Pelodiscus sinensis: one gene and its partners. The protein of the gene in region 2 interacts with the protein of the main gene of each other region in a biochemical or structural test. Links are inferred from orthologs where the notes say so. Each region holds a gene or a part of one and is shown on either strand. Other genes may lie near its edges.

Region 1 (6,855 bases), on a different chromosome or scaffold from region 2:
TTAGCTGTTGACATACAACAAAAACAGCTGCCACTTACTTTAAAATCTGCATGCAATCCAGCATGCAATAAGTTACCTATTTCAAACTAGTTGGGAAGAGAGCATCACTACCGTATACCTATCTGTAAACCTGCACACTAACCATAACAAACCTGTGTGTCTCAATAATTAAGTTAATAGGGCTTTTCAAGCTTTGTGAAGGGAGCTTTTTATGCTTACATACAGCTTATCTGAAAACCCAGAATCTTATTCTGGATCAGTGAGGTAGTGATGTAACCATCCTCAAGCAGATGTCACACTTCTCCAAAATTCGTGTGCCCAGTCTCCTTTGCGTGTTCTCTGGCTTCCACTTGTCCAGTTAATCCCTTCTGGCACACCATGCATCTCAGCGTAAAGCGGTTTACATCAGTAAACTGCCTTTTTCGTCTGGCTTCATCTGCTAATTCCAATGCTTGTGCAAGAACAATATCATCATTTGTTGAGAAAATGGTCAGGGGAGGGACGTCTGAGTCCGGGATTTTACGTTCAAGGGGATCATAATGAATCCCATCATAAATCAGAAGGACCCGCTTAGCATAGCCAGCATCTTCCCCAAAACGATCAATTCGGACTGTCTGTGTATCCACTACACAGATTTCACACTGATAAAACTTAGACAAAATGGACACTTCAATGGCTCCTCCCCATGTATCTTCTCTTCTGATCCATTCACAGTACTCTTGATTGGTTTTCCCTAGTACTGCCTCACAATAGGACTCCGGATCACTTGCCACTATCTGAGCTATAAGACTGCGCATCTCTGGAGCACATGCTGGATCATAAATGCCCCCCTCTACCACATAGAATATGCTTGTGAAGAGACAAGAGTTATCTGCTGGAACAACCCTCCTTCCAAGTACAGGCACTGCCCCCCTGACAAAATTAGGGACACTCCTTTTTGCAACTACAGGTGACTCAGTCTTGGGTTTGGTTGTGTCCTCTTCAACTATTAGAGTATCACCTGTCAAAAATAAAAAGAGACATGAGATAAAATCCAGCATTGAATCACCATAATGCATTGCAAACAAAGGAAAAACTGCACAGTGAAGCAAATCTTTGTCCCAGTGTACCATGCCTCGGTTCTCTGATAAGATTAGATAAGCACAATAGAAAGCATTACCCATTTGATAAATTACATAAGCCACAGCAAGATGTAGAAAATAACAGTAGCTTTGGGACCTCACTGTATATGGCTGGTAGAGAGACACAAGCTTTGTGCTGAAATCTCTAAATTGGCAAAACAAGTAATATTTTCAAGTTTGTCTAAATCTGGGCCACAAGAGGAGTGATATTTAGAGATGTTTATATTTACAAGCTGCTAGATAAGTTTAAGTCACTGACAACACTATTTTGCAATCCTTTAATAAAAAGGGTGGTAAGTGAAGCATCCCAAATGAGTTTCAGTTAAGCTAATTATAATCTGCTTGAAAGGCAGGCTCAATTAAGTCTGGTATTCTGTTGCTCATCCTGTCTTGAGCAGTAAGATGTAGAATAATATTGTTTGTGTGCGCATGTATGAAATAATAATAGAATATTGTGTTTTTAAGCTCCTGCTGCCTTTTACTCCAGCAAGAGCTAGATCTTTTGCAATCTGTTCTTTTACAGTTGACTCATGCTCACAAGGCTACAGTATCTGGGGAGAGAATGAAATAAGCTAGAGAAAGGACATGCTTGCTAAGCCATCCATTTCAGTGAGCCCTGAGCATCACTTCTAGGGACAACTTCAACTTACACTTGCCCTCTCAGATCATATTCTGGAAGAAAATTGGCATGACCATATATACCAGACGAATACAATGAAAAAAGTGAACACGTTATTAACACCGTTTAATAATGTGTTCACTTTTTTCATTGTATTCCTCTGGTATATATGGATATGCCCAGGGCTTGACAAATCAGTGAATCTACTTGCCCATGGCAAGTCCACTTCAGCCGGTCACCCCGTTCACCGGTGACACGGGCATGCGCAATGTGGGTCTGGCAAATAGATTTTTCCGCTGTTTGTCAAGCCCTGGTCATGCCAATTTTCTTCCAGAATATGATCTGAAGAAGCAGGTCTGGCCCACAAAAGCTCATCACCTATTACACCATCTTGTTAGTCTCTAAAGTGCTACACAGTATTTCCTTTTGTTTTTGCAAAATCAGACTTAACGGGGCTACCTCTCTATTGGTACTCTTACCCCCAACAGTCTGAAGAAGTGGGCTGTGCCCACGATACCATCTACCTGTGTGTGTCTATAAACAGTGCTTGTTTTTTTCCCTGTACTGACTAAGTCGGCTCGCCCCTGAAGTCTCTACCACGTCCGTTGGAGAATGACGAAGCGTGAAGCAGACAGGGAAGGTTCTGCTCGCTCTCTGGACCTGGAGCCCAGATTCCTACCCCTCGGGCCAGCTGTGCCCGGCGGGGCACCCCACAGCCTCGCTGGAGCGAAGAGCGCGGCCTGGGGACGAGGGGGGGGGCCGGAGCCAGTGTGACCCCCCCCCTCACTCCACCGCTGGGTTCCGCCTCCAGGGGCAGAGACGCTGCCACTGACCCCCCGCCCCAGCGTGAGGCAGCCAGGACCGCCCCGCCCCCCAGGAAGGGGGGGCTCCCCGCGCGCCTCACCTGAGTGGATGCCGAGCTCCCCCAGCCGCCGCTCCGCGTCGCTCAGGTCGAGGCTGCGCGGGGGGAAGCCGAGCAGGAGGCGCTGGGCCGGGGCGGGGACCCCGGTCAGGGCGGCCAGGGCGGCCTGCAGCTCCCGCAGGCGGGAATGCGCCGTGAGGCCGGGCAGCGGGTGGGAGCCGCTCCGGGCCTTGCAGCGCAGCCGCAGCATCCTCCGCCGGCCCGGGCCTGCCCGGCCTGTGCTGCTGCCCGGGCAAAATGGCCGGCCGGGCCGGCGGCCGCTGCCAGGGCTGCCCCGACAAGTCTCGCGACAACGGGCGCCGCGGCCGGCTATTGGCTGCGCGCGCCGGGACCGGCCCCTCCTCCCCGGCGGAGGGGGCATGTTTCCCTCGCGCGCCGGCGGCGCGGCCAATCCGCGGCTTGGGGTGGAGACGCCCGTGGTGGCGTCACACGCGCACGAGGGGAGTCTCACAGTCGGGGTGGGAGGGGGGAGAAGAGACGTCATTTTGCCTTCCCGCGGTCAAGGTGGAATAGGAGCGGGTGGGGGCGGAGTTCTGTTATAAACTCATTTGCATATTTGCACATTATTTGCATACTAGAAATTCCTGTTCTTTCGCTCGTTCGGAAAAAAAAATGGAGTGAGCTTTTCTACAGTTTATTTATCCATGGGCACATTTGCATCTCATTTACATACCTGGCCTATGGGCGCGCTGACGTGTCCAGGCTTCTTTGAATTGCGCGTGTTCATTTGCATAGCATGGCCCCTCCTGCCTGGTTCCGCGGGTCTCCACCCCCCCCCCCCTTTTCCCAGCGAAGCGGCGTCTTAGTCACGCGAGCGCTCTATTAGCATATCATTTGCATCTCGTTCCTTGCCCCGCCCTCTTCCCTGTCGGCCAGCAGGTGCGGGACGAACCTTCCCAGGGCGGCGCGGGGGAGCCTTGCTGCAGTGCGGGGCCCGCCAGCCTCGGTGCGTCCATGCCCTTGCCCTTGGGGGAGGCTCCCGGCCGGTGCCCGAGGCTCGCAGAGCTTGACAGGGGCAGCAGCAGGCTGGCTTCCCGCCCCTTCCTGGTACGGCTCGCGCTGAAGGCTCGGGGTTTGGTGCCTCAGTTTCCCTGCGCTGCCAGCGGGTCTGTCTGGGGGGCTCTGCAGGTCCGTGCCTGAGGAATGGCTGAAATCCTGGAGCGGGGCTTGTGAGTGCTGGGACCCGCCCCCTGGCTCAGAGGATGCTGTCAAACCATCTGAGCCATAATCCCTGCTGGTCAGCTGGGGGGGCTGCTTGGCCATCTCCAAAAAGTGCCCCCGCAGCTGCGGAACCGCTTCGGGAGTCTGGGGAAAGGCTGTTTCTTTACATTTGTGGTGATTCGCACTCAAGGGTAAATACAGGTACATTCCCCTTATTCCTTGGCTGAGATGATTCATTAATGTTCTAGGTGAAGGCGGCATTGTTTTCCTCCTGTGCTTCGTTTTGCTATGGTTTGTGTTCTCTTGTGCCAACTACATATGTTACCACCTGAGGGTGACCTTGGACTACAGCTTTGAGACTTGCATGGCTTCCTTTCCTTGCCACCAGGAACAGCACAGATAAGTTGCTATGCATCTTATTCCGCTCTGTCTACCGGATTTCATAAGGATTTATGTTTGGTTCTTCTTTTCTTTTCCAAGAGCCTGAAGGTCCATTACTGACTAAGTGTGTTGATTAGCAGCAATGTCACAATATACAGCATCAGTCCCAGAGCAAAACAACAACAACCAGGAAAACAAAACTTCAAATCTCCGAGTCTCAGAAAAAAAGTGTTGTGAGTATTTGTGACAGTCTAGGGAAATAGATCCTGTGTCTTGCAATTAATTTCTCTTTTACCTGTTTATAAAAAGAAGTAGTCAATCAGTCACGCTTTATTCCTTCTACCCCGGGGCATAGTAAAGGCGAAGTGGCTTTCCTTATGCCTCTTCCCAAAAATGCTTCAGCTCTGATCTGAAGGGCTGTTCATTTTCTGTCCCCCATTCATTTCTAGGCCTTTTTTGCTGAGTCTGCCAGCAAGGGGAAGAACTGTGATGTGTTTTTATGATATGTACTTGGACCTGAGATCCCCAGAAATTTAATGTATTTAATGTAGGCTCCAAAAATAGTACTAGACAAGTTTATAACTGTGTACAATTCTTGTTTGTATCACTTTTATCCAGTTATATTTGTTGAACATTTTGCTCTTCTGGACAAATGTTGACCCTTCAAGTTAATAACGTTTTTTAATTCAGCTCTTTTTAGAAGGAAATCTGTTCAATGTGGATCTGAGTTTAAATGTAACGTCTGTTCCTGAAAGCTACCCACGTGTATTAGGCAAGAACTAGCACAACTGTACTCAATAGGGATTTAAGGTGGCTCACCTTGCCTATTTCCATCTAATGTGCTTCATCAGGTAGTGATCTGGGCATGTTACATCTGTGACAAGTTGAGCTGATTCCATCTAACAACCTCCATTGAACTCTTATAACCTAGGCTTAGTCTTCGGTTGTGAAAGGCCAGGTTTAAGCAAAGAATCACAAAGTTCAGTAGGAAAGGACGCGCACACGCACACTGATATGATTTAGAGCTGCATAATCACCAGCGGTCTGCTTCGATTTTTACTGCTTTCCAAGTATCTCTCTTTACTCTTATTGAATATCTTTATTAAGGATTACTTTTTCCCAATACGTGCTAGTTGCCCTTATCCATATTACATTCATTTTGTTATTTCCTGCTTATGTCTCTAACCCATAATTCAGTGTCTTTACTGATTTTTCAGAACTTCCCAATCTAAAGATACGTCTACACTACAAAGTTGTGTTAGAAAAATGGCCGTTTTTCTAACACAACTTGAGGACTGTCCACACTGCAATTGTGTTCTTCTGCAAGAAAATCTAAAGAACCAGGGGGTTTTCTGGCATTGGTAATCCTCATTCTACAAGGAAAAAGCCTTTTTCCGAAAGAGCTCTTTCACAAAAAGGCATGTGTGGACAGTGAAGAGCAAGTTCTTTCGAAAGAAGAGGAAAAAGGGAAAAGCACAGGTGCCTTGGTGGCCATTCCATCCATAGCAATCACAGCTTACATGCAAGACAGCTTCCATTCAGTGTGGATGCTCTCTTTCGAAAAAGCAGATGGCTTTTTCAATGCACTTTTGCAGTGTGGCCGCTCTCTTTGTGAAGAAGTTTTTTCGGAAGATCTCTTCCAAAAAAAGCTTCTTCTAAAAGAAGCCTGTAGTCTAGATGTAGCCTAAGTCACTTTGGGAATTTACATTTAACATCTTGTTTGTCTCTTCCTCCAGTTCCTTTATAAAGCTATTTCAAGGAACATCGTCCATGCAAAGGTTATGTTTGTGTCTGACAATGTTTTACCTGTTTTAAGTAATCCTTAAAATGACTATGACTGGAAAAGACCATGGGGAAAAACATTTTTTTTTCCATTTGTTTACTTTGCACTTATGACAGCAAGGAATACAGATGGCTTCCCCAGAGTCAGTTTCTTTGTTACTATGCACGAAAATCCACACAAACAAGTGAGAGAATTTAGAGTATTAATAATAGACAAATATGGCTATAAAACTATAAAAAAAATTGGCATTGAAGCTTGGGGGCAAAAGTAGTGCACAGATATATATATATACCTTTAACAGAATCTTTGAAACTGACAAGATTTACAACAGACAAAATCCCATCAGCATTGCAGTTAGATTTGAATTGTGTCTTGTGTGGCAAAACCGTCTCATCAGGCCATTTAGATACAGGAAAGTCCTATTCTTTCCATTTTGTCTTCTATTTAGTTTATATTCATTTGCTTTGACCAGTTTAATTATGGCAGCACATGCTCCCATATCCCTGTCTATAATCAGTCTCTTTCGTAGAGTTCTATAAAACTGAAAGTTTTACTCAGTGGATTCATTAATTAATTCATCTGTTGCTTTTGGAGAATTATCAGAATTTTTAAATAGATACTAGAAATTTTATGCAAAATCAGTACTGGTCAAAAATCCTGCTTCTTAGCAACAGATTAAACATTATCAACTTTGTTTCTCAGATCATTTGTTCATTATGATATGGAAAGAAATTAGCTTCCCGTCTATTATCAATAAAGAATTTTTCCTCTGTCCTTGATAGCTATTGCTTAATTGGTACATACTTTCAACTCTGACTGACGTATTTTGGCTGACATATTAGTCACACGTTATTTTCCCTGTTCACGG
Region 2 (7,541 bases):
AGGGGGTACAGAAATAACCACCCCTGATCCAGCAAAATCCCTCATCCAGGATTGGTCAGGTCCAGAGGGGGTCGGACCAGGGAGGTCCAAAGTGTAGGAGAAGCTGATCTCACAGTTACAGAGGTGAAGGCCTAATAACATACTAAAATATAACAAATTCCTGCATAGACCGGACTTCTAAGTGAAAAATAATCCTTGGCATCTTTTATATGTATAGAACTAACCTGGTGAGGTCTGAGTGTATATCTAAAAGTATATATAATGCAGTGCATCATTGCCACAGTACAAGAGAGTCATGACACACAACTGAACATGTTCATATTTCTTGAAACCACTTTAATCAGGGTCCTAGATGAAGGATTGCACTGAACAAATGAATCCTGGGTGCTGGGAAATTAATCTTTTACAGTGGTTGTGCCTATTGTTAGAATTCATTCAAAGGGGATTTAGGAACCAAAATACCATTCACTTTCATTTAGGTACATAAACATGCAGCTAGGTACCTAAATCCCAACGATTTCAAAGATGTATTGAGAATATTTTCTAAACTCGGTGTGTCATGGCTTATACATGTTTAAAATTGTCCAGAAAGAACTGGGCCATATCCTCACCACAACTCTGTAAGATTATGTTTTCATTTCCCTGGATGTACTTTCTCCTATTTTCAGCAATGAATAGGAAATAAAACTGCTTATTTTGATTTCGTAGGCTTCTCTGTACACTTAAATTATATAAAAGCAGCTGGAATCTGATCACCAGGAATCCTGCTACCCCACTCTTGCAATAAAACAACAGAAATCCTTGACACCTCAGTTCCAATGTGTGACAAATAAATTACAGCTGTGATGATCCTCTTTCCCCAGCAGCAGGAGGGAGGACCTAGAGTCCCCCACAACACACCCTCCCTTTCAAGTATAATTGTACAGCACAGGATGAGTGAGATGAAACACCTTTATGTAATGCAATTATTGTTAGGAGGAAGAGGGGAGGAAAAAGCTCATCTTGAGTGCAATGTTATTTAAGGGAAGAGATTTGTATTCTCAGTCAGGCTATGTCTACACTGGAAAGGTTTGGTGATGAAAGTGCTGTCGACATACAATAGTCGCCAAAAGTGAAAACCAGCCAAACCAGTTTTTCTGCCACCCATTGTAGACATTTCATGGCTACATTGTTAGCACCCTGTAGACAGAAATACAGAAATGAAAACTGATCAAACCTGTTTTTCTGCCTCCCTTTGTTGATATCTCATGACCACATAGTTAGCATCCTGTCAAGAGACAGAGCAAAGCAATATGGGTAAGCATCCCACAGTGCCCTGGCATCACCTTTAGTTACTAAGCACTGTGGGGATGTGCAACATAGCACAAGGCATAGAAAAATGTCCATCAGCCACCTCTTTGCTTCCTAGCTCTCTTTGGGTTTCCAGGTTACTTGAATTGCAATCCTTGCTGAAAACTCCAGCATCTGCTGTGAGAAATCATGAACCCCACAATTCTCTCCCATGTTGTGTTCAATGTGCTTAGTACATCATGCATTGTAGCACAGCTACTTATGCAATTAATAACAAAGCATGAAAACTTGGATGCATTTAACAATGGAGAAAGGGACACCAACGAATTGTCATTGCATTGGGCTATCACAGATTAGCTGTGCACCATAGACCATAGCTAGGAAAACTAGCACTGGGTTTTGGAATTGAATTGTCATGCAGGTGTGGAATGAAGACCAGTGGCTACAGAACTTTCAGATGTGTAAAGCGCCTTCCTGGAGCTGTGTGCTGAGCTGGTCCCCTGAACTGTGACACAAAAACGGAGAATGGGAGCTGGCCACTCCTGATTGCAATTGTTAAGTTGCAAATTAGTTTGGAGTGGGAAAGTCTACCATGGAGGCAGTACTTACATAAGTGCACAGGACAATACATCACATTTTGCTATATAGGGCTGTAACTCTGGGAAATGTAGATGACATAATGGCTGGGTTTGCAAGCATGGGCTTTGCAAACTGTCCAACCATCCCATTGTTCAACCAGAAGAGCGTCTTGAGTAATATCCACCCCCCGATTCCCTGAGAAGATACCATGAGGACCACTACATAATGAGCCAGACACAAGCAAATGGATTTTTCAAGTTCCCAAGGTTTGCAGGTGGAAATGGCACATCTGTTTACATGTCTGCAGAGCAGCAGAGTTCCAAGCACTGGCCAGAGTGGCTAACTGGGCAGTATGGGAAACATGTTGGAGGTCAATAAATTTACCAAAAAACCTTCTGTAGTACACACTATATGACTGTCAACAGTCATGGCAAGGGGAGAGACAAAAGTCTCTGGTGGAGATGGAAGTTTTTTGTTGCCAAAACGGGGCATTTGTCATGACTTTAGTCACATCACAATGTGAACGCTCTCTGGCTGCATCTAGACTGGCAAGTTTTTCCGAAAAAGTAGCTGCTTTTGCGGAAAAACTTGCCAGCTGTCTACACTGGCCGCTTGAATTTCCGCAAGAACACTGACGATCTCATGTAAGAAATCAGTGCCTCTTGCAGAAATACAATGCTGCTCCCGTTCAGGCAAAAGTCCTTTTGCACAAAAGCTTTTGTGCAAAAGGGCCAGTGTAGACAGCTCAGATTTGTTTTGCGCAAAAAAGCCCCGATTTTTTTTTGGCTACATGTTGTGCACTGTAATGAATTTATATGATGGTCTTTTAGCACACTTTCATGATACCCGCAATACATTTCATGTGTTGGAGGCCACTGCAAAAGATCTCACACCGTCCGACTACAATGAGACCATACCATGCAAACGAAGGAGAAATCAATTTTCTGATGAAGTTGGTATGGATAACACTGTTTGAGTGCCAGGGATAAATTTCATATACAGTGCTTTTATCCTATCCTGGATAAACATATTGTTGAGATGGTCAGACAACGAGCAGCGTATGCCACGTTGAATGAAAGGTTCAATTTTCTTGTGGATAGATCAATGTCCAGTGCTGAAGTTGCCTCTAGAGCAAGGGCATTAGTAGATATCTGTCCCTCAAATCTCAGACATGCATTTACTGATGAATTTCTATTGTTCTCACATATGTATGGTATGTAGAGAAGAAATCTGTGGCAGCAATGATCAGTGCACAAATGGCAGACAAGTTGGTAACAAGTTTTCCAATGTCAACATTGCTTTCAGAATGTATCTCGCCATCTTGGGAGCAAACTGTGAAGGGAGTACTCTTTTTCAAAGTTAAACTATATGAAGGACTGTCTTCAGTCTACTATGGGTCAGAAACAACTATCTCCCTTGCACTACTTTCAATTGAGAGTGAGCTTTTGAGAAAAATAACATTTGATTATGTAGTCTGTGATTTTGCTAACAGAAAGAGTCACAAAATAAATATTTAATTGTATGTTATACCTGCATGTTGTTTGTTGACTAAAGATTTAATAACACCTCCATTTAATTGATCTTCAACATTTGCACATGTATTCTAATAAAAATAGCAAATTATTAAGTGTGATTGAGCTGTTTTATTTTCTTATTTTTGAGTCAATCATGATTTTTTTTGGGGCCCTAAATTTTTTGTAGGCTATATGCACTGTGTTTACTGGATAATCTGGCTCTGACCTTAGGCACTTTGGAAAAACTACTGCTGTTCTTTCTTTTCTGGGATAATTTGGGAGCTGAGGGTATGTCTACACTACCCCGCTAGTTCGAACTAGCGGGGTAATGTAGGCATACCGCACTTGCAAATGAAGTCCGGGTTTTGAATTTCCCGGGCTTCATTTGCATAAGCGGGGAGCCACCGTTTTTAAAACCCCGCTGGTTCGAACCCCGTGCTGCGCGGCTACACGGGGCTCGAACTAGGTAGTTCGGACTAGGATTCCTATTCAGAACTACCTAGTTCAAGCCCCGTGTAGCTGCGCTGCACGGGGTTCGAACCAGCGGGGTTTTTAAAATGGCGGCTCCCCGCTTATGCAAATGAAGCCCGGGAAATTCAAATCCTGGGCTTCATTTGCAAGTGCGGTATGCATACATTACCCTCCTAGTTCGAACTAGGGGGGTAGTGTAGACATACCCTTAGAAAGGAAGATCAAGAGGATCTATCTTTCCATTTTACCCGGTGGGTATCTTGCCTAGCCTTAATGTGTGTGAACTTGAATAAAAATGTATCCACCTCCTAGGTTTTATTATATATCCAGCTTTATTGTTGTTAATGAGTCAAAGGGGAACTGGAGAAGCTAATGATGGCCTGCCCCATGCCAGGCCCCTGCAATCCCCAGCGGTGAAATACGATTCCCCCCAGGATCTGTGATTATGTCTACATGGACCAGGCACTCACTGGGGTAGATAAACTCGGGCTAAAAATAGCTTGTGGCCCAAGCTCCACTCCACTCCCATTAGCAGTCTCAATGCTGGGGGTGCTGTAGCCAGAGAGCTGTCCCGCCCCACGTCAGGCTGGATGTGGGGGGGGGGGGAGCGGCACTGGAGCCCAAAGGCTGGGGGTGGAGGGGTGTCTCTTTCTTCCCCCTGGCAAATCAGCCGAGAGGGCGGGGGAGGAGGGCGAGGGGCTGCTTCGCACGCTAGAAGCGCCTCACCATCGCTCCCCGCTCCCTTCTCTCCTCCCCTTCTCTCCGATCCCCGCCCGCGGAGCTGGGACCGGGCGCGTGAGCTGCCGGACTCGCTCCCTGCTTCTCTCCGCCCGCTTTGCCGGGGATGCGCTGAAAGGGGGCAGCTCCCGCGGGGCCTGTGCGACCCACCGCTCGCGTCCCGGCGCTCGCAGGCTCCCCACGGCTGCAGGCTGAAGTCCCGTCCGGCGGTAAGTAGCCTGGGCGGGGCTGCGCTGCCTGTGGCCGGGCTCTGGCTTTCCCCCCGCGGGGGGACCGGCCCAGGGTCCTCCCCGACGGGCGGAGCGGGGCAGGTGCCAGGGAGCTGGCTGAAGCACGGCAGCCGGGGCGCGCCTGGTGGAAGGGTTTCTGATTTGGGGGGGGGGGGGGGAGGAGGGACATATAGATCCAGCCTGCCGACGGACAGGAGGGTGGGTCTGTATGTGCCTATAGGGTCGTGATGTGCCTGTATGGTCCTGGCACCCCGCCCTGCCCTGCCTGAGACCGGGTCTATAGGTGCCTGTATGGTCCTAGCACCCCGCCCTGTCTATGAGACCGGGTCTATAGGTGCCTGTATGGTCCTAGCACCCCGCCCTGTCTATGAGACCGGTTCTATAGGTACCTGTATGGTCTTAGCACCCCGCCCTGTCTATGAGACCGGTTCTATAGGTGCCTGTATGGTCCTAGCACCCCGCCCTGTCTATGAGACCGGTTCTATAGGTGCCTGTATGGTCCTAGCACCCCGCCCTGTCTATGAGACCGGGTCTATAGGTGCCTGTATGGTCCTAGCACCCCGTCCTGCCCTGTCTATGAGACCGGTTCTATAGGTACCTGTATGGTCTTAGCACCCCGCCCTGTCTATGAGACCGGTTCTATAGGTGCCTGTATGGTCCTAGCACCCCGCCCTGTCTATGAGACCGGTTCTATAGGTGCCTGTATGGTCCTAGCACCCCGCCCTGTCTATGAGACCGGTTCTATAGGTGCCTGTATTGTCCTAGCACCCAGCCCTGTCTATGAGACCGGTTCTATAGGTGCCTGTATGGTCCTAGCACCCCGCCCTGTCCATGAGACAGGGTCTATAGGTGCCTGTATGCCTCTGCTACTCTGTCCCGTGTCCGTGACCGGGTCTGTTTGTGTCTCTATGGTCACGGCGCTCTGTCCGGTCGCTCTGGGCGGCGGGGTCCGTACGTGCCGGTGCCCCCAGGAGCAGTCCCGGGCGGGAGCTGCCCGCCCCCCCCCCCCCCCCCCGCTTGGTAGCGGGCAGGCTCAGGAGTGGCGCCGCCCCACCAGCAGGAGCCTCCCCACCCCCAGCAAGCCCCACAGAGCACCTCAAGCGAGGGGGGGGGGGCGGTTCTGGAGCTCCGAGTGCAGCTCCCTGTGCGGGAGACGGGGACGAGGGACTGGAGCCACTATTGTCTGAGCGGGCATTGCCCACGTGCGCAGAGATGTCTCATCCCCGCTCGGCTAATTTCCACTAGGACACTGTGTCCAGGTAGCTGCAGCCTTCTGGAGCAGGGCGGGACTCCTAAAACGGATTTGGAGCTTTCCCCTGCGGCTGAGGGTAGGTGTCAAGTGGATCCAGCCTCACCCTCGTAGCTCCAGAGAGATTGTGTGACGGCAGAAGGCTCGATCTCATGCATTTCACCCGAGATTCCTATTTAAAGCAGTGTGAAAGCTGTTCCCTTTCTGTGGGAGGGTGACAGATTTTGCAGTGTGTGCTAATGAGACAAATCTCGCTCCTGTTTATTTCCACATTTAAATGATCACAAGTAGGTAGTGGTTGCTGCCGCCCAGATGTTTGGCACCCAGTCAAAGGGTATGTCTACACTACAGCATTATTTTGAAATATCTACTTTCAAAATAGTTCATTCGAAATAGCTTATTTCGAAAGAACGCGTCTACACACAAAATGCAGGTCGCAATAGTGTTTTTCTATTTTGAAATAGCGCGTCCACACTGAGTGGTCGTTGAATCGCATTTAAGGCTGGTTGGAACCAGTTCTGGCAGGGCATCAGGTCAGAAGTTGCCTTGTGGCCAGAGCGGCCAGCAGGGCACCCTGGGAAGGGCTGGAGGTCCCCTTTTTTTCGAAATAAGCCTCTACACAGCGCTTATTTTTGAAATAGTAGTTTCAAAATTGGCACTATTCTTCGTGGAATGAGGGTTAACAATTTTGAAATAAGCCCTCTGCTATTTCAAATTAATTTCGCAGTAACGGAATGGCTCTGTAGATGCTAGGATAGTTATTTCGAAATAACGGCCGTTATTTTGAAATAACTTTGCTGTGTAGACATACCCTTAGTCAGCAGCATCAGAGGAATAAAGGAAGTGGTACAGGTACCAACAGAATTCTTATTCTATAGGTGGAGAAATAAAAGATCACCAAGAGTTAATTTGTTAAAGGAGCATTGCCTTTTTAAGGACTTAAATGAAGTTCCTAGTCCCACATCTGCCCCTGAAATCACCTACTAGTGATTGTGGCGTTACAATAATATTTCCCTTTAAAAAAGTATAAATGAGTTTTCCATCTCCACTGCTGCCAGAAATACCGCCACAAATAATAGGGTAAACTGTCTATACAAAGGAAAAAGAGAAACTGACTGTGGCAAAATGCTGTCAGATGCACTAAGCAAGTATATAGGGTACAAAGATTTTTTTCTTTAATCTTTTCCTGTTAATAGCTTCACAGATTCTAAGGCTGGAGGGGACCACTATGAATATAGGTGGATAATATAGCTATAACAGGGTTTATAATAGAGACTACTACAATAGTAGATAAGCAATTTTCAGATAAATGAGTGGTATTTTTATTTGTTTTTAAGTTGCTGGTGCATTTTGAACTAGATTCGTGGCTCTGAGTGAAAACATGTAGACCATCCAACTAAAGGGTTAAATCCTTTTGTCTGTAGAACAAAACTCACATTCATGTCTGTGGGAATTGTGTCTCATTCAAGA
Region 3 (7,117 bases), on a different chromosome or scaffold from region 2:
AATCATGACTAACTACACCAAGTGGAATTTTTTTATTTTCTAATTGGAGGATGTGAACCTGTTCCCACTGACTTCGAAGGAAGCAAGACACAGTACTGCCAACCTCATTGTTCAAAAGTCACGAATCAGGCCCTTAAAAAAATCAAGGCTTAAAAATCAGGAGATTTTAAAGACTAATAAAATGTGGGTTGTTTTTATTTACCTTCTAGTTTGGGGTGTTGTTTTTTTTGTTTGTTTGTTTTTTAATCTTTAGGGTATACTGCTATCATATTTCAAAGCTTTTCTCTGCAACCATAACACTAGAAATTTAGGGCTTATTTACATGGTGGGTGATAGGCATTATTAAGTGTGTGATTTCTATAGTGTACTAATGTCATGTACATAAATTAGTCTGTGTATACCCTGCTGGTATACACTGAAGGCTCTTTCATACTGTGCATTACCCTCTCTCTAGTCAAGCCCTTTCTTAAAAAAAAAAATTCACAATCAATTGTCTCCATGCGCTAAGGATGTAAATCAAACATCAAATATCATGAGCTGGCAACACTGATTTAGATCAAGCATTTGTATATTTCAGAGCTAATTTATATTCTAAGAGTCTGACCCTGCAGCCCTTACTCATACAAGTTTTTTTTACTCACACAAGGACTCCCATTGATATCAGCTTAAGTAAACAGTTTGTAACATTCAACCCTATGTTATTAGACTAGCCTTGGATTAATTTAACTATAATCTGTGCTGTAGTCCTCCCATTAGATAGACCTGTAATTAATGTTCTTAGAACTAAAAAAGAAAGGAATAAGCTATTTTCACTAACATTTCCTTAAGGTATAAAAACAGTGAACTTTTCTTCAATTTTCTTTTAACTATCAAAATGTACCAGTAGAATATATAGTGTTTAAAGCCATTTCCCCACAAGGGATATATGGCTCAGAACAGAACACAAATAAATTTGTATTGGCTTCAAATTTCATAGAAAATGATTTTTACAGTGCCACTTTGGAGAACTGACATCATTCATATACATGCTTGAGCTCTAATTAAATCCCTCGGATAAAACCATAATTTCATTTGGAAAACACAACCCTGGGCTGCTCCACTTCATAGGGTGAGAGAAGAGGCTCTTTTATCTGCTGTCATTCTTTTCTTTTACAGAGGAGGGTGCTTTTCTTCTTTGAGGGATACCTGTCAATCATAAACTGATAAGAAGCACAAGGCTCTGTTACTTGTTTTTAAGAGGGAAACAACGGGAATGGCATTTTTTTCACCAGCTACTCAGAGGAAAGCCAAAAATACAACAGGAACAGATAATTATATTGCAGGATTTTGTTCAAGGAACACTGAAAATTGTCAACAATAGTTATTTCTGAAGCCTATTTCTTCTCTGCAAGCAGAGTTCAGCGAAGAATGCTAGCATTTCCTGTGGAAATTGTGTGGTTGCCAGTAACAGCCTCCTAATTTTTCTTCTCCCATTTTTATTGTTTTGTTTTGTATTTAAAATAAACACACCCTGGCATTTCGACAACAGCCACAATAACCCTTTACCTCATTCACCACCTGCAGATGAAAGTCATCAGCAAAGGAAAGCAAAGGAGTCACATTTCAGCAAACAGCAAAACCAAAGCACACTGTAACCCAGCAAGAGAGGTGGCTGAGGATGTCCAAGTCCTGCATGCTGGTTTAGAGGTGGGGTAGGGGGGACAGACTCTTCCCACAGTATCCTTCTGTGCATTCGTTTCACCCAACCCTTCACGTCCCCCTGTACGAGATGGTGCCCGTGTTGCACAAGGCGGCTCGTTAAAAGCCAGGATGCCAGCGACAATACAAGCCAGGGTGCCAGCCAAGAAAGGGGGGCGTCCATGCCCCACAAGGTAGCGGGGAAGCTGCTGCCTCTTGTGTGTCAACCATCTCCCGGCTAAAACCACCTCTTGGCTGCAGCGTTACTATAGACACCGGCTGGGTCCTAACCCTTTCGCAGCGAGGCGCTCCTCTCCGCGAGACCAGCCGCGCGGTCCCCTGCCTGCGCTGCCGGAAGGGATGGGATCCCCCTCCTCGTGCTCAGGGAAAGGGGGTGCTGCTCCTCCCCCCCATGCAAACTTGGAGCCGCAGGCTGGGCTGCTCCCCTCCCGCGGGCTGCGCCCGGCCCAGGCTCCAGGGAACTTTGGCTCACTCACCCGCGGCTCCGCCGGCCAACGTGCTGCTGCGCGGGGCCGGGGCTCGCGCTGCTCCTGCTGCCGCTGCTCCCGCTCGGGTAGAACGCGGCCCGCCGGGCGGGGACGCGGCCGCCCGCTGCTTGCGTCACAATCACGCCGCGGCCATTCCCCACGCCGGGAATTCGGGGGGCTGGGGGGAGCCGCCACGTGATGAGCAGCGAGGCGCCGCCGGGCGGGGAGGCGGGCAGGGCGGAGGCGCTGGAGGCTGCCCGCCGCAAGCCTGACTGACGGGAGCTCCCCACCCCCGGGCCCCGCCGCAGCCCCGTCCTGGCCCTCGCCTCCCGCTGGATTCCCCCCGCCCCCGCGCGTGTTTCTTGCACTTTCTCCTTCGCCCCGCTGTGACAGCCCGCCCCTGCTCCCGCCCCGCCGCGCTGCCCTGGGCACTGGGGCGTGCAGGGGACTGGAGGAGGTTGCAGCTGCAGGGGGGTGTGACCCCCCCTTTTAGCCCCGGAATCGCCCCTACACACGCGGGGGACAAACGCTCTTCACGCGGGGCGGATGTGCAGGTCGAACCGTTGGCGGGTGGGGGCTCGTCGCTCCTTGAGAAGACTCGGTCCAGGTGAGGGCTGAGGGGAAAAGCCCGCTCCTAGCACCATCCCGCTCGGCAGGATCCCTGCAGCAGCAAGGAAGGACCGGCGGCGCCTACCCTGGTGCTCACAGTATTCCCTGCGGGGCTCCTGCTGTCACACAGCCCACTCCAGCAGCGGGCCCAACTTGTGCAAAAAGTAGCAACATAGGACCCCGTGTTCTAATTTGCTGGCAACATCAGGCACAATTTTTTAAACAGAGGTTTAAACTATCTTTAAGGTGAAAACACACATCAACTCATGCTATAAGGTATTAATCACATGGCATCATACTGCACTAAAAATACCTGAAAATGTTGGGTTTAATTCGTTCACATCTGTTTAAAATAAAACCGTGGGTTTTGGCTTAGTATAAAACCTGGAAAGCACACATCATGCTTTCCTTCCAGTAGATACAGATGGAGTTGGTGGCACCCTTGCAATGTATGGAATATGTTTCCATTAAAGTCATGTTAACTCCCTCTGTTAGAAAATCATATTTTATTTCATGTTATTGAGGGTTAGCATAGTTACAAACTGTTTCTTTGCTTCTGAATGTAGACTATTTTAGTCAAACATGGGCCAGGTGGTCACTCTATTTAAACATTACGGTAATTGTTTGTTACAAGGTTCTCAAGTGGTAACCATTGTGATTTCAGTGTGAGGTAACAGGAAAACACTACCCATAAGCTAAGTGGTAGTTTAGCTGCAGTGAAAGTTCTTTTAAATGCATTTCCCCTCTTTTTCATAATTTAATTTTATTCCCTTCTGCCATGTTTTCTCAGAAGTGTCTGGGATTTTTTTAAATCACTGTTCACACACATTTTCTAGTCTACCTTTTAGACTTATCCTGTTTTCTCACTGACTCCCCAGAGATTTTATACAGTTTTACATTTCAAACATAAATCAGGACTTGGATTTTCAGTCTCAGATGAGGCAACACTGCAAAAGCCCCAAAGATGCATACTGCAAATTAAAGTGAATTTCACGCATGTAAAAAGATTCTGGTTTGACATTACCGGTAACTGTTATCTACAGAACAAATATAGCACAAACAGTAACAAGTTTCCTCCAGTGCATCACTAATATTATTAAACCCATTCTGGATTGAACATCTCCAGGAATTCAGAGTGGTATTTCAGTCTGCATGTTCATTTACTTCTTGGCCTTCATGAGAGTTCCAGAGAAGCCAGTGAATCACAGTTCTTGGCCCATTAGGAATGGAATTGAGACCACCATTCGATGTCATCCATAGAACAGCCATCAGATAATAACTACTTTGAAACACTTTTAATCTGATCTGCATTTGCACCAGTGACTTGGAGATGAAAGACAGTATAGCGTTCCATCAATTCACTTGAGGTATCTAGTCCCTGTAACATAATGTATTCTCATATATGTCACAGCTCATTCAGTACACTTGCCCAAAGGATGAAAAGTGTTAATTTAAAAAAATTAATGTATATTGTTAAGATGGTATGAAAAGAAGCTTGCACGTTGATTACAATGAATTCTAGGTTTTCTATTCAGGCCATGCGTGCTATGCCTAAAATGTTAAAATGGTCTCAACGCTATCTGAGGAGCGTGTTGATTCAGGGAGAGGAAGAGAAGGGTTTTATTTTGGAAAGATTTCACTATTGCAGTGTTTTTAGGAAAAGGCATATGCAGAGACTGCCCATTTCACACTCATACTTACATAGAGATTAAATAACTGTTTTGGGGTATTTCAAATGCATTTGATTAGGTGGTTTTTTTAAAGGAATTCTGGTCAGCTGTGTGTGATTAAATGGTTTTTAAAAGAATACAGGTCAGCTTCAGAACACAATGTCACATATAGCTCATGCCTGGTTGAAGAACATAGTGTCTATGGAAAAGAAAAGCAGTATATTTTGTAATTTAGGGGCCATAAATACACTCTATATTTAAATGCAGCCTTTTAGCCTGCCAAGTATATTTTTATGTGTTACATGTGATAATATCTCATGTAGAGCTGATATTCCTGTTTATGGACTTGCTCCTGCACTCTTGGTGGGAGTTTTTGCTTGAATGAGGAGAGCCGATCATGCCCTATATGTCCATATAAGCAATAACTTGGCATACAAGGGTCAGTTCTTATAAGGATTGCAAGATATACCATATCTGTACTTTATATTACACAGTACTGTTAGTACTCTTTTTAAAAAAATCACAGGACACCAGGGCTGTGTCTACACTGACATGAATTTCCGGAACTGCTTAAAATGGAATACTATTCCGTTTTCAGTTTTTCCGGAAAAGGAGCGTCTACATTGGCAGGCTGCTTTTCCGGAAAAGCCCTTTTTCTGGAAAAGCATCTGTGGCCAATGTAGACGCGCTTTTCTGGAAAAGAGCTCCGATCGCCATTTTCGCAATCGTGGCTTTTTTCCGGAAAAGACGACTGGGCTGTCTACACTGGCCCTTTTCCGGAACAGTGTTCCGGAATAAGGACTTATGCCCGAGCGGGAGCAGAATAGTTTTTCCGGAATAGCGGCTGATTTTGTACAGTAGAGCATCGTTGCTATTCTGGAAATTCAAGGGCCAGTGTAGACAGCTCGCAGCTTATTCCGGAAAAGTGGCTGATTTTCCGGAATAAGTGGCCCAGTGTAGACACAGCCCATCTGTATTTTTATAGCATACAAACAGGTACACGGCTTTATTGAAATGTAGAATATTTCCCTCTTACCATCTTATCTCCAGACAAGATTTATTGAAAAATAGGCACTAGTATACTTTTTTTTAAAAGATAGTTTACCCAAGATCAGTTCAGTAGTACATGAAAATGCTCTAGTATTACAGACAGACTGATCATGGTAATGCATGTGATAAGAGTAAAGAGTATCTTTCATGTGTGTATGTAAGAGACCAGTCTTGCTTCCATAATAGGGAGTGGGAGCTGAAGGTAGACAGCGGATGGTTGCAGGGCTAGATCCTAGGGGCCTGAACAGGAATCATTCCATCAACTTCAGTGGACAATGGATTAGGGCCTGTGTTTTTAACTGTGACCTTCAAATAAATATCGGGTGTTTTAGTCTAGAACTAAAATATTTTGCAATTTAATAATATTTGTATTTTCTATCCCACAGCTTGCAAAATTAAGCAATTACAAAAATTCTACAAGCTGTAAATAAAGGAATGTACAGTACTTTATATCTGTAGTCAGCCTCCAGTTTCCAGTATGGTAATCTATGACTTATGGTGAGTGTGATACAATCATGTGTTCTCATGGGTGTCACTTTAAGTAAGAACTAGTTATTGCAGAGAAACTGCATTAACATCTTTTGAAATAACAAAGGGTAAGTTTTAACTTGCACTATGAATGCTTCCTTTTTATATTATTTAGGGGCATTCAGGAATTAATTGTTTGTTTGTTTTAAGTTTGCCACTCAACTTTAATTCTTGGTGAAAAATATTCCCCTCTAAAAGCCTAACTTATTTCAGACAGGTGAGCTAAAATTAAAGACATTTTCCCCTCCTAACTTTGAAAGATTGAAAAAAATAGGACAGATTCAAATTAGCCCTGATTTTAGTCTTTCAAACCCATTCTGTATTCTCCCTACTTGAAATTTTTCATATAGTAGACTACATTATTCAAACCATGTAGGATATGGGAGAGTTAATCCAAAACTTTTTGATGCACATTGAGTAACTCTCAGAATGCAAGTCGCACCAATAATGTTTGCACAAAACCCCTGTTCGTTTCAAATTGCATTGTGTGAACACTAGGGATGTGAACAACTAGTCAAATGATGCTTATCGGACAGTCGATAGGCTAGTCGACTAGTTGCTTCCCCACCTTGCTGCCTCTATCACAAAGAGGCAGCGGGGGAACAGGGGAAGGGGTGCTTCAAAGCGGCAGCTCCGTGTGGAGCCAGGGGTCAATGAAGGAGTCTCCAGCTGACCCTGGGCTCCATGTGGCACTGCCGCTTTGAAACGCCACGTGGAGCCCAGGGTCAGCTGGGGACTGTTGAGTCCCATGCTGGCCCTGTGCTCCCAATAGTGCTTTCACTTTTGAAGTATAACAACAGCCCTAGGGCTGTTGCTACACTTCAAAAGCGTAAGCACCCTTATTGACTAATTGAGTAGTTGATACAAATTGCATCGATTATTCAATTACCAAATAATCAAAATTTTACATCCTTAGTGAACACATGGAAACAGTTGGCAGCAAAGTGAGGGCATAGCATTCTCTGACAATATCTTATGATCTTTTACTTCTCTGCTGAGAAGCATGCATCCCAGGATTGTTTTTGCTGAGAATTGTGCAAAGCCAGGTGGATCCAATTTAAAAAAACAACAACATAGTTTTGGTGTCTCCACCCC
Region 4 (7,016 bases), on a different chromosome or scaffold from region 2:
TTCCTTTTTACCACCAAACAGAGCAGCAGCTGCCTTTTTGAAAAAACTCTTAGCTGGACTTGACAAGTGGAAGTCAGGAACAGTGTGACAACAGCTAGAAGAGAGTCTATCTGGTGTAAAGCCCTGTGGAAATTAAATATAAGTCAATAATTTGAAGACTGAGCTGCACTTAGAATAATAGAATGTTTAGGACAAAAAAGTCACAGTACAAACCTGTAAAAAGAAGTCATGTCGAATTATATCATCTAAACTGGGCCGGTCCTCGGGATTCTTTGACAACATGCTAGCTATTAAGTGCTTCGCAGGTGCTAACAGAGATGATGGCAGAGTATATCTTGCTTCCCTTATACATCTGTAGGTTTCTTTAAGGTTCGTAGTCTCAAATGGAGGTCTTCCTAACAACATTGTGTACCTGTTTAAGAGGAGTAAGAGGCACTCAGTACTTAAGTAAATGCAACGCTTCAAAATCTTTTAAAAAAAGATTAAAATTAACCCATTTCATAGGCAAGAAGGTTGCTCTGATAATTCATATATGACGTTGGTAGGTTACCCAGACTTCAGGTATTGTGTTAACCCAGTCATTGCCTCCACTTTTGAACCCTAAAGCCATTTCAAGGTTATCAAGATAGCTTAGAGTCTTTGAAGTGATACTTACATTACACAGCCTAAGGCCCATATGTCAGATTCACAGCCATGTCCTTGTTTGTTCAGGACTTCTGGAGAGAGGTAATTTGGTGTGCCACAGATTGTTCTGCAAACCAAAAAGATCAGTAATCAGATATCAATCCAGAGAAGAAATTGGGCAGGAGATTAGAAACCCTCAAGAAACAGCGTGAATCATGTTTGCACTGTTAACATTCCTATTTAGTATCTTCAGTATTCCAGGATATGCCATACTGAACACCTTGCTGCAACACTTAGTCAGACATCCTGCCTCTGGCATTGGCCATCCTCTAAGTGTCCAGAGACAAAAGCCACCCTGCACATATTACAGTACTTTTATATGAAGAAAAGTTCTGACCCCTGCAGCAGTAAGCTAGTCTTAATGTTCCTCTAATTTTTAAGGTCTTGCTCAGAATTAATGCTGTACCTTAGACATTCTTTAGACTCTTACCTCCTTCTGTGTTCCAGTGGTTCCAACCTTGCTGCCAAACCAAAGTCTCCTACTTTTAGTTCCATGGCTTCATTAATGAAGAAATTACCTAGACAAAAAAAGGGAAAATGAATTCCTTCATTGCAAGATAGGGATGCATTAGCCACTAGAGCTGAGTCACACTAATAGAAGCCAGCAAACAGCCAAGCTTTTTTTAAAATGAATACTTAATATCATTACTTAAGTGCTCCAGGCTTCCATTGTAGAAAAAGACTGAAGGGATTCTATCAATTGAGCTGTCAGTATGCTAAGTGCCCAGTGCTGGAAACAGTGCAATTTGCAATCAATGAGAAAAATGACTTACCTAGTTTAAGGTCTCTGTGCAAGATTTCCTGTTCATGAAGATATTTTAGTCCAGACACTATCTGCCTGAGGTAGTATCGCACTTCTGGTTCTGTCAATACCTTCCTTGCTTTCAAGATATGAGCCATAGACTGCAAAAAACAAAACACAAAGAGGTGAATTAAAGGTCTCAAGTAGGTTTCACTTTATAGAGAAATGACCACCTAAAAAAAAAAAGCTATCAGAAATACCTTTCACATATTATACATTTACATTAGCTGCAGTTCCCAGGTAAGTGAATACTGGATTTCTCCCAGTTGATGCTCACCCTTCTACTGCAGTACTCCAGAAGAATGTAAATATTTTCTTTGTCTTCAAAGTAGTGGTAAAACTGCACAACATGCCTGTGATTAAGCATTCTGTGAAGCTCAATCTCTTTATCAATCTAAAGAACAAGACATAAGAAAAACATATTAGTCTTATAGCTCTGGCTGAGGAGTCTGCTAACACCAGCAGGCATTTCTAAACAGGGGAAAGGCCATGCCGCACACAAAGAGATTTTTTTAAGAAAGAGTCACTCATGCACACACCTTTTCCCTTTGATGAGGTTTAGCCACTCTGGTGTGAGGAATAATTTTTGCAGCATAGACTTTGTTGGTCGTTAAATCTGTCATCTCATAACATTTGGCAAATCCACCCTAAAGAGACATACCAAAAAAGGCAATTAAACATGGTATGAAAGGTTCCACATTTAATCAGTCATCTACTGGGTGCATGATTCAAGAGGCTCGAAAGAATAGAGAGTCTTTGTGATTGCCTCCGCCTTGGGCATTTCTGTAGCAGGCAGACCCCACCTCGCTGTGTAGGGGAAGGGGGAGAGGAGAGAAACCTAAACCATTTTTACAGACACGGCTGAGGGAACACACACTTTTAGGGTGGGAGGAAGGGCCGATCCAGTGGTGGGGCAGAGAGGGCTGTGAACACAGTATGCTCCACGCGGCGCGTTTACACAGACAAGGAGATCCGATCCACGTTCAGACGGGGCGGCACAGGTCCACCGCGCTCATCAGCGAGCGAGTCCAGCCAGGCACACCGGAGGGCCTGGGGCTGCCGAAGGGACATGCAGCAGGTAGCCACGCGAACGGCCCCCGGCGCAAGGGGCGGGGAAGGACACTCCTGCCCGGCTGGAGGAAGGACCATGCCGCGCGAAGGGAGCAGGGAGAAGCCCGGGCTGCTCCCCGGGGCGAGCCATGCGAGTCGCTTCCAGGAGCCCCCTGGGCGGCGGAGGAGGCGCCGGGTCCTTTACCTTGCCGAGCACCTTGCCGCGGCAGTAGCGCTTGCCCGAGCCGGGGTCGGTGATAATCCGGGAGACCTCGGGGGCAGCCTGCGAGTGATGGTGCTGAGGCTGCTCCTCCGGCGCTTTCTTGCGCCGGGCCTCCCCACCGCAGGCCCTGCCCAGCGCCGGCTCGCCCCCCTTGGGGCCGCCGCTGCTGCTGCCGCCGCCCGGCTGGTGAGCGATAGTCCGCAGTAAATCCATCTCCGCTCGGTCGGTCAATCAGCCCCACTGCGCGGAGCGCCGGCCCGACTGGCCCCTTATATCGCAGGAGGCGGCGGCCCCGCCCCGAACCTCTCGACGTCACAAGGCACCGCCTTCTAGCCCGCCCCAGCGTCATCTGCTGTACCCGCGCGCTCTGGCTCCCTGCGCGGAGCTGCCCGCCTGGGGCTGCCGGGTCGCTGCTGGCAGGGCTCTGCCGCGGGGTGTCACTAGCGGCCCCAGATCGCCCTTCTCCCGCGGGGGCGGGCCCCGTCCCTCAGGAGCGTGCACTGGGGGCAGGGACAGGGGCTCACTCCAGGACCGGTGGGGGCGCGATTCCCCAAGCGATGCAGACTCCGCAGCCCGGGGCCTGGAGCCGGCGGGTGCAGGGCTAGCGGGGGAAGCGAGCCCGGGTAGTACCTCTACCGTGGCTCAGGCGCCTTCCGTGGTGGACTGATAAAGTTGCGCATCCCCGGCCCAGCAGAGAAGCGCGGAGTCAGTAGACCAGTAGGGGACGTGTGTCCCGCAGGGGCGCAGGGACAGAAACTGCGTCCACCGGGTTGAACACGCCCAAGGGCAGTTCCCGGGTTGATTTTTTCCCATCTAACGCCTGTTGGTCTGAATAGGTCGTGAGGGCAATGCTCACAGGGGTAAGGTCACATGCCCCGGCTGCACCCCAACCAGCCAGTTGCAGACACATCTCCTTACACCCCCCCCCCCCCCACTCTCCTCTGCTCTCAAGGGCAAGGACAAGAGCCCTTGTCACTTCCCCAACTCTTCCTCTTGAGGGAATGGGACCCAGTTGGGGCTAGGAAGCATGCCATGTGAAACACCTATGACAAGACCAAACTACTTGGAAAACAGATTTTTCTTTGAACATAACAGTGGGTTCAGTTTTATTAAAATGTCACAAGGATGCACACACTTTAGGGGAAAAAAGCCAAATCAGGTCCCTTCCTAAGCCAAAAAAAGGGGGGGCATATGTAAAATGAAGATCGCTTTGGCTGAAACCATGAATAAAATGAAATTTGACTGAAGGAGGGGGGATACCACACAAAAAGAAACAAACGTTTTCAAGGAAAATTCAACATTTTTCTGAATATCTCAGGACCAGAAAGAGACACATTTGTTGCCTTTGATCCATATCTTACTGAGAAATGTTCTCCATTTAGTCCATTGGCTACTGAAGCAGTGTTCATCAGTGATGAAACAAGTCTCTGTGAAGGACCTAGCCTGCCAATTAATAATCACGCCTTGGATTGACCTCATTGGGTACAATGTTGTATTAATCTGCTGCAGGTCTGAGATGGGAGAAAACAGTTTCTCCTTTCCCAGGGCAGAGCAAAAGGAAACCCAGAGCGACACCTAGCGGAAAATGTAATCAGCACAAAGGGCTGGGGGGGGGGGGGGAGGGGGGAATTAATGGTAACTAGCCTATCACTGCAGTTCTGCAAAATTCAGTTTGAAGGCCTTTGACTACAATGGAAAATTTCAGTTGGATATTCTTCAGTTGGTGTCGAAAATATGTTGTGCAGTGTTACCTGCATTATTAAGTAGCTACCACATGTCTCTCTAGTTATTCTAGTTAGGCATGTGGATTAGAAACTGATTTACTAGATCTTTTGGTAGTTTATATAGCTGTGTGTATATATTCATGTCTTAGGACTGTGAATTGGTAAATCTAAGAATACTAGAGAGGCACATTTTAAATATTGAAATGAATAAAGTGCTTTGTGTTGCCTCATTGGAATGAAACGTGATACATATATGTATAATTACACTATTTCCTCAGTGGATCATACTTATTTTAGATTTTTTTATTATAGTTTGAGGATATTTTCTCTGTCCTTACTGGTGATAGATCTTGTCAGTCATGTAACCTACAACATCAGTTTTCAGAGCATATAATTACATAAGTGGTTTGTGTGTCAATTCTTGAGCCTCTCCCTTTCACACATTTAACTAGAGCACACAGCAACAAAATGTTTGTTTTCTAATGCTCCACCATGTGGATAATAGAAAAAATGCAACAGGAAAACATTTAAGAAGCCGTATGTGTTTATTGTGTTTTACTATGGAAAAACATTGATTTTTATCTCAAATATTTTTAGGTGAGCATATAGGAATGAAGTCAATGTTATTTAGTAGTTAGATTGACAGGCAAACAGTTCAGAGAGCAGGGCTTTGTTCACTTTTATAACTGATGTGGTGATGTATGACCTTGAGCACCTCGCTTAGATCTGTCAGGGGCTTAGTTCCCCAGTCTGTTTCCCTTATAACTCAAATACTTTAATTTCCCCCCCATCTGATGCTGGAAGTTTGAATTATACTCTAAAGAACAAATGACTCTCCCAAACTTTGTAAACTGCTTGGTACACCTCTGGTGAAAAATACTAAATAAATGTAAAATATTGTAGACTACAGCCCGCTCCTGGTCAGAATCAGAACTACTCATGCTAATGAATTAATTTTAAAATATCATAAGCTGGACCCCATTAACAGCTAATGGAAATTCACTAGTTTCAGAGGGATAGCCGTGTTAATCTGCAACTGAAAAACTTAAAAAATAACTAATAGTCTTGTAGCACCTTAGAGACTAACAAAAACGTAGCTGGTTGACTTCAGTGGTACTTAAGCCACATTCAGTGGGACTTAAGTACCTGCTTTAAAATCAAATACTTAAGTGTTTCACTTAATAGATACGTGTGCTTAGCTGAAAGAAAGTTTTGAAGCAGAATAATCTGAGTTCTGCCCCACTGTTCCCAAGGAGTTCAGAAGTGACAACTGTGAAGCCCTGGTACTAGGCAATTGTACAGTATTATTTGGGAATGTTTCTTTAGCTGAGAGAGCCGTGGGTAAATGTACTAGCTAAACTTTAAGGTGTTGAGTTCATGTTTAGATTTAGTAACAAGTAAAAGATATCTGTTTTCAAAAGGATCAAATCTCAAAAGGTTATAAGATTTTGTCAGTTTAGTTAGTAAAAGCCACAAAAAGATTGTAAGCAATAAACAAAATTCATAGAAGCCTCCAACCTGTCTATTATTAAAAATAATGGCACAGTTAGTAAGGGGATGACGGAAGTCTCAGCCCCATAGTGCGAGGAGAGAGAACCCCAGCACTTCCCACAGGAATTGCCAGCTCTGAAGCCACCCATCACCCATGGCACATGAGTGTTCTGAGCCCCGGCCAGCCATGGTGGTTCAGTCAATTAGCAGAGTTTTTCCCATCTGTTGAGACATTGAGATGGATTTAATCAAAATTAGAAGTCTGTTTAGTATCATGGAAAAGGAAGGAAGTTCCTTATCTGAAAATTTACAAACTTTTTTTCAATTTTTTGGAATTTGGAGCTGAAGTTTGGGGCATTTTTTCTTTATCTGAACAGGTTTGCCTGGCTTGTATGTTTATGTGCTTGTGACTCTGTACCTCAAAGCAGCACCCTGGAACCCCCATATTCACCACTGTCATATAATTATGATAACATAACTTGTGAAGTGTTATTTTAGAAGTCTGAATCTGCTGAACACTAAAAACCTGTTGAATTGTAGGTGCTATCATCATTGTATGTGAAGTTATAAAGTACAGGTTCAGTCTCTATGGTTACACTGACCATATGGCCTGGAAAATCCGGGACACTCCCAAATTTTAATGTCCTGTCCCGGTGCCCCGCACAGCTCTCAAATGTCCCAGAAAAGGTCCCTAGGCTCCAAGTGCAGGAAGAAGTGGCAGCTGATTCCCCTCCCCTGGCTAGGGGACGAGTCAGGAACACTTCCCAGCTTTTCCTGCAGCTGGGGATCTAGCCAATAGAAGCAGGGGAGACATTACCTGTTAGGAGCACGTGGAACACACGTAAATGGCTGGCCTGGGGGCTGGGGTGGACAAGCAGCACGGGGCGTAGGGGGGAAGGACTAAAGAGCAGCCCAGCTGGGCAGGGAAGCTGAAGAACGGGACCGTGGCCTGGCCCAGCTGGCCCAGGCAGGTGGCACTGAATAGCAGCCCACGGCCTGGCTGGCCCAGGCAGGGGAGGCCAAAGAGCGGCCCACAGGCTCG

What was found.
Region 1: the proteins of SNCA (region 2) and YOD1 form a complex in vitro, tested with the Homo sapiens proteins (2 studies listed by BioGRID, with this or other methods). The link is inferred for Pelodiscus sinensis from reciprocal best matches to the Homo sapiens genes SNCA and YOD1.
Region 3: the proteins of SNCA (region 2) and SNCAIP form a complex in vitro, tested with the Homo sapiens proteins (3 studies listed by BioGRID and IntAct, with this or other methods). The link is inferred for Pelodiscus sinensis from reciprocal best matches to the Homo sapiens genes SNCA and SNCAIP.
Region 4: of the proteins of SNCA (region 2) and PLK2, one has a biochemical effect on the other in vitro, tested with the Homo sapiens proteins (2 studies listed by BioGRID). The link is inferred for Pelodiscus sinensis from reciprocal best matches to the Homo sapiens genes SNCA and PLK2.

The regions. Positions count from the first base shown.
Region 1 is NC_134737.1:5,465,610-5,472,464, reverse strand, and holds the start of YOD1 (ubiquitin thioesterase OTU1), read right to left. Parts: upstream 3,016-6,855; 5' UTR 2,853-3,015; coding exon 2,645-2,852; intron 1,001-2,644; coding exon 294-1,000; 3' UTR 1-293. Other genes in the region: PFKFB2 (6-phosphofructo-2-kinase/fructose-2,6-bisphosphatase 2), read left to right, coding at 4,347-4,437. UniProt on the Homo sapiens protein: Hydrolase that can remove conjugated ubiquitin from proteins and participates in endoplasmic reticulum-associated degradation (ERAD) for misfolded lumenal proteins.
Region 2 is NC_134715.1:16,040,179-16,047,719, reverse strand, and holds the start of SNCA (alpha-synuclein), read left to right. Parts: upstream 1-4,535; 5' UTR 4,536-4,801; intron 4,802-7,541. UniProt on the Homo sapiens protein: Neuronal protein that plays several roles in synaptic activity such as regulation of synaptic vesicle trafficking and subsequent neurotransmitter release.
Region 3 is NC_134716.1:55,040,523-55,047,639, forward strand, and holds the start of SNCAIP (synphilin-1), read right to left. Parts: upstream 3,016-7,117; 5' UTR 2,175-3,015; intron 1-2,174. UniProt on the Homo sapiens protein: Isoform 2 inhibits the ubiquitin ligase activity of SIAH1 and inhibits proteasomal degradation of target proteins. Isoform 2 inhibits autoubiquitination and proteasomal degradation of SIAH1, and thereby increases cellular levels of SIAH.
Region 4 is NC_134716.1:95,058,595-95,065,610, reverse strand, and holds the start of PLK2 (serine/threonine-protein kinase PLK2), read right to left. Parts: upstream 3,016-7,016; 5' UTR 2,973-3,015; coding exon 2,742-2,972; intron 2,134-2,741; coding exon 2,026-2,133; intron 1,881-2,025; coding exon 1,764-1,880; intron 1,588-1,763; coding exon 1,458-1,587; intron 1,203-1,457; coding exon 1,115-1,202; intron 752-1,114; coding exon 656-751; intron 413-655; coding exon 214-412; intron 124-213; coding exon 1-123.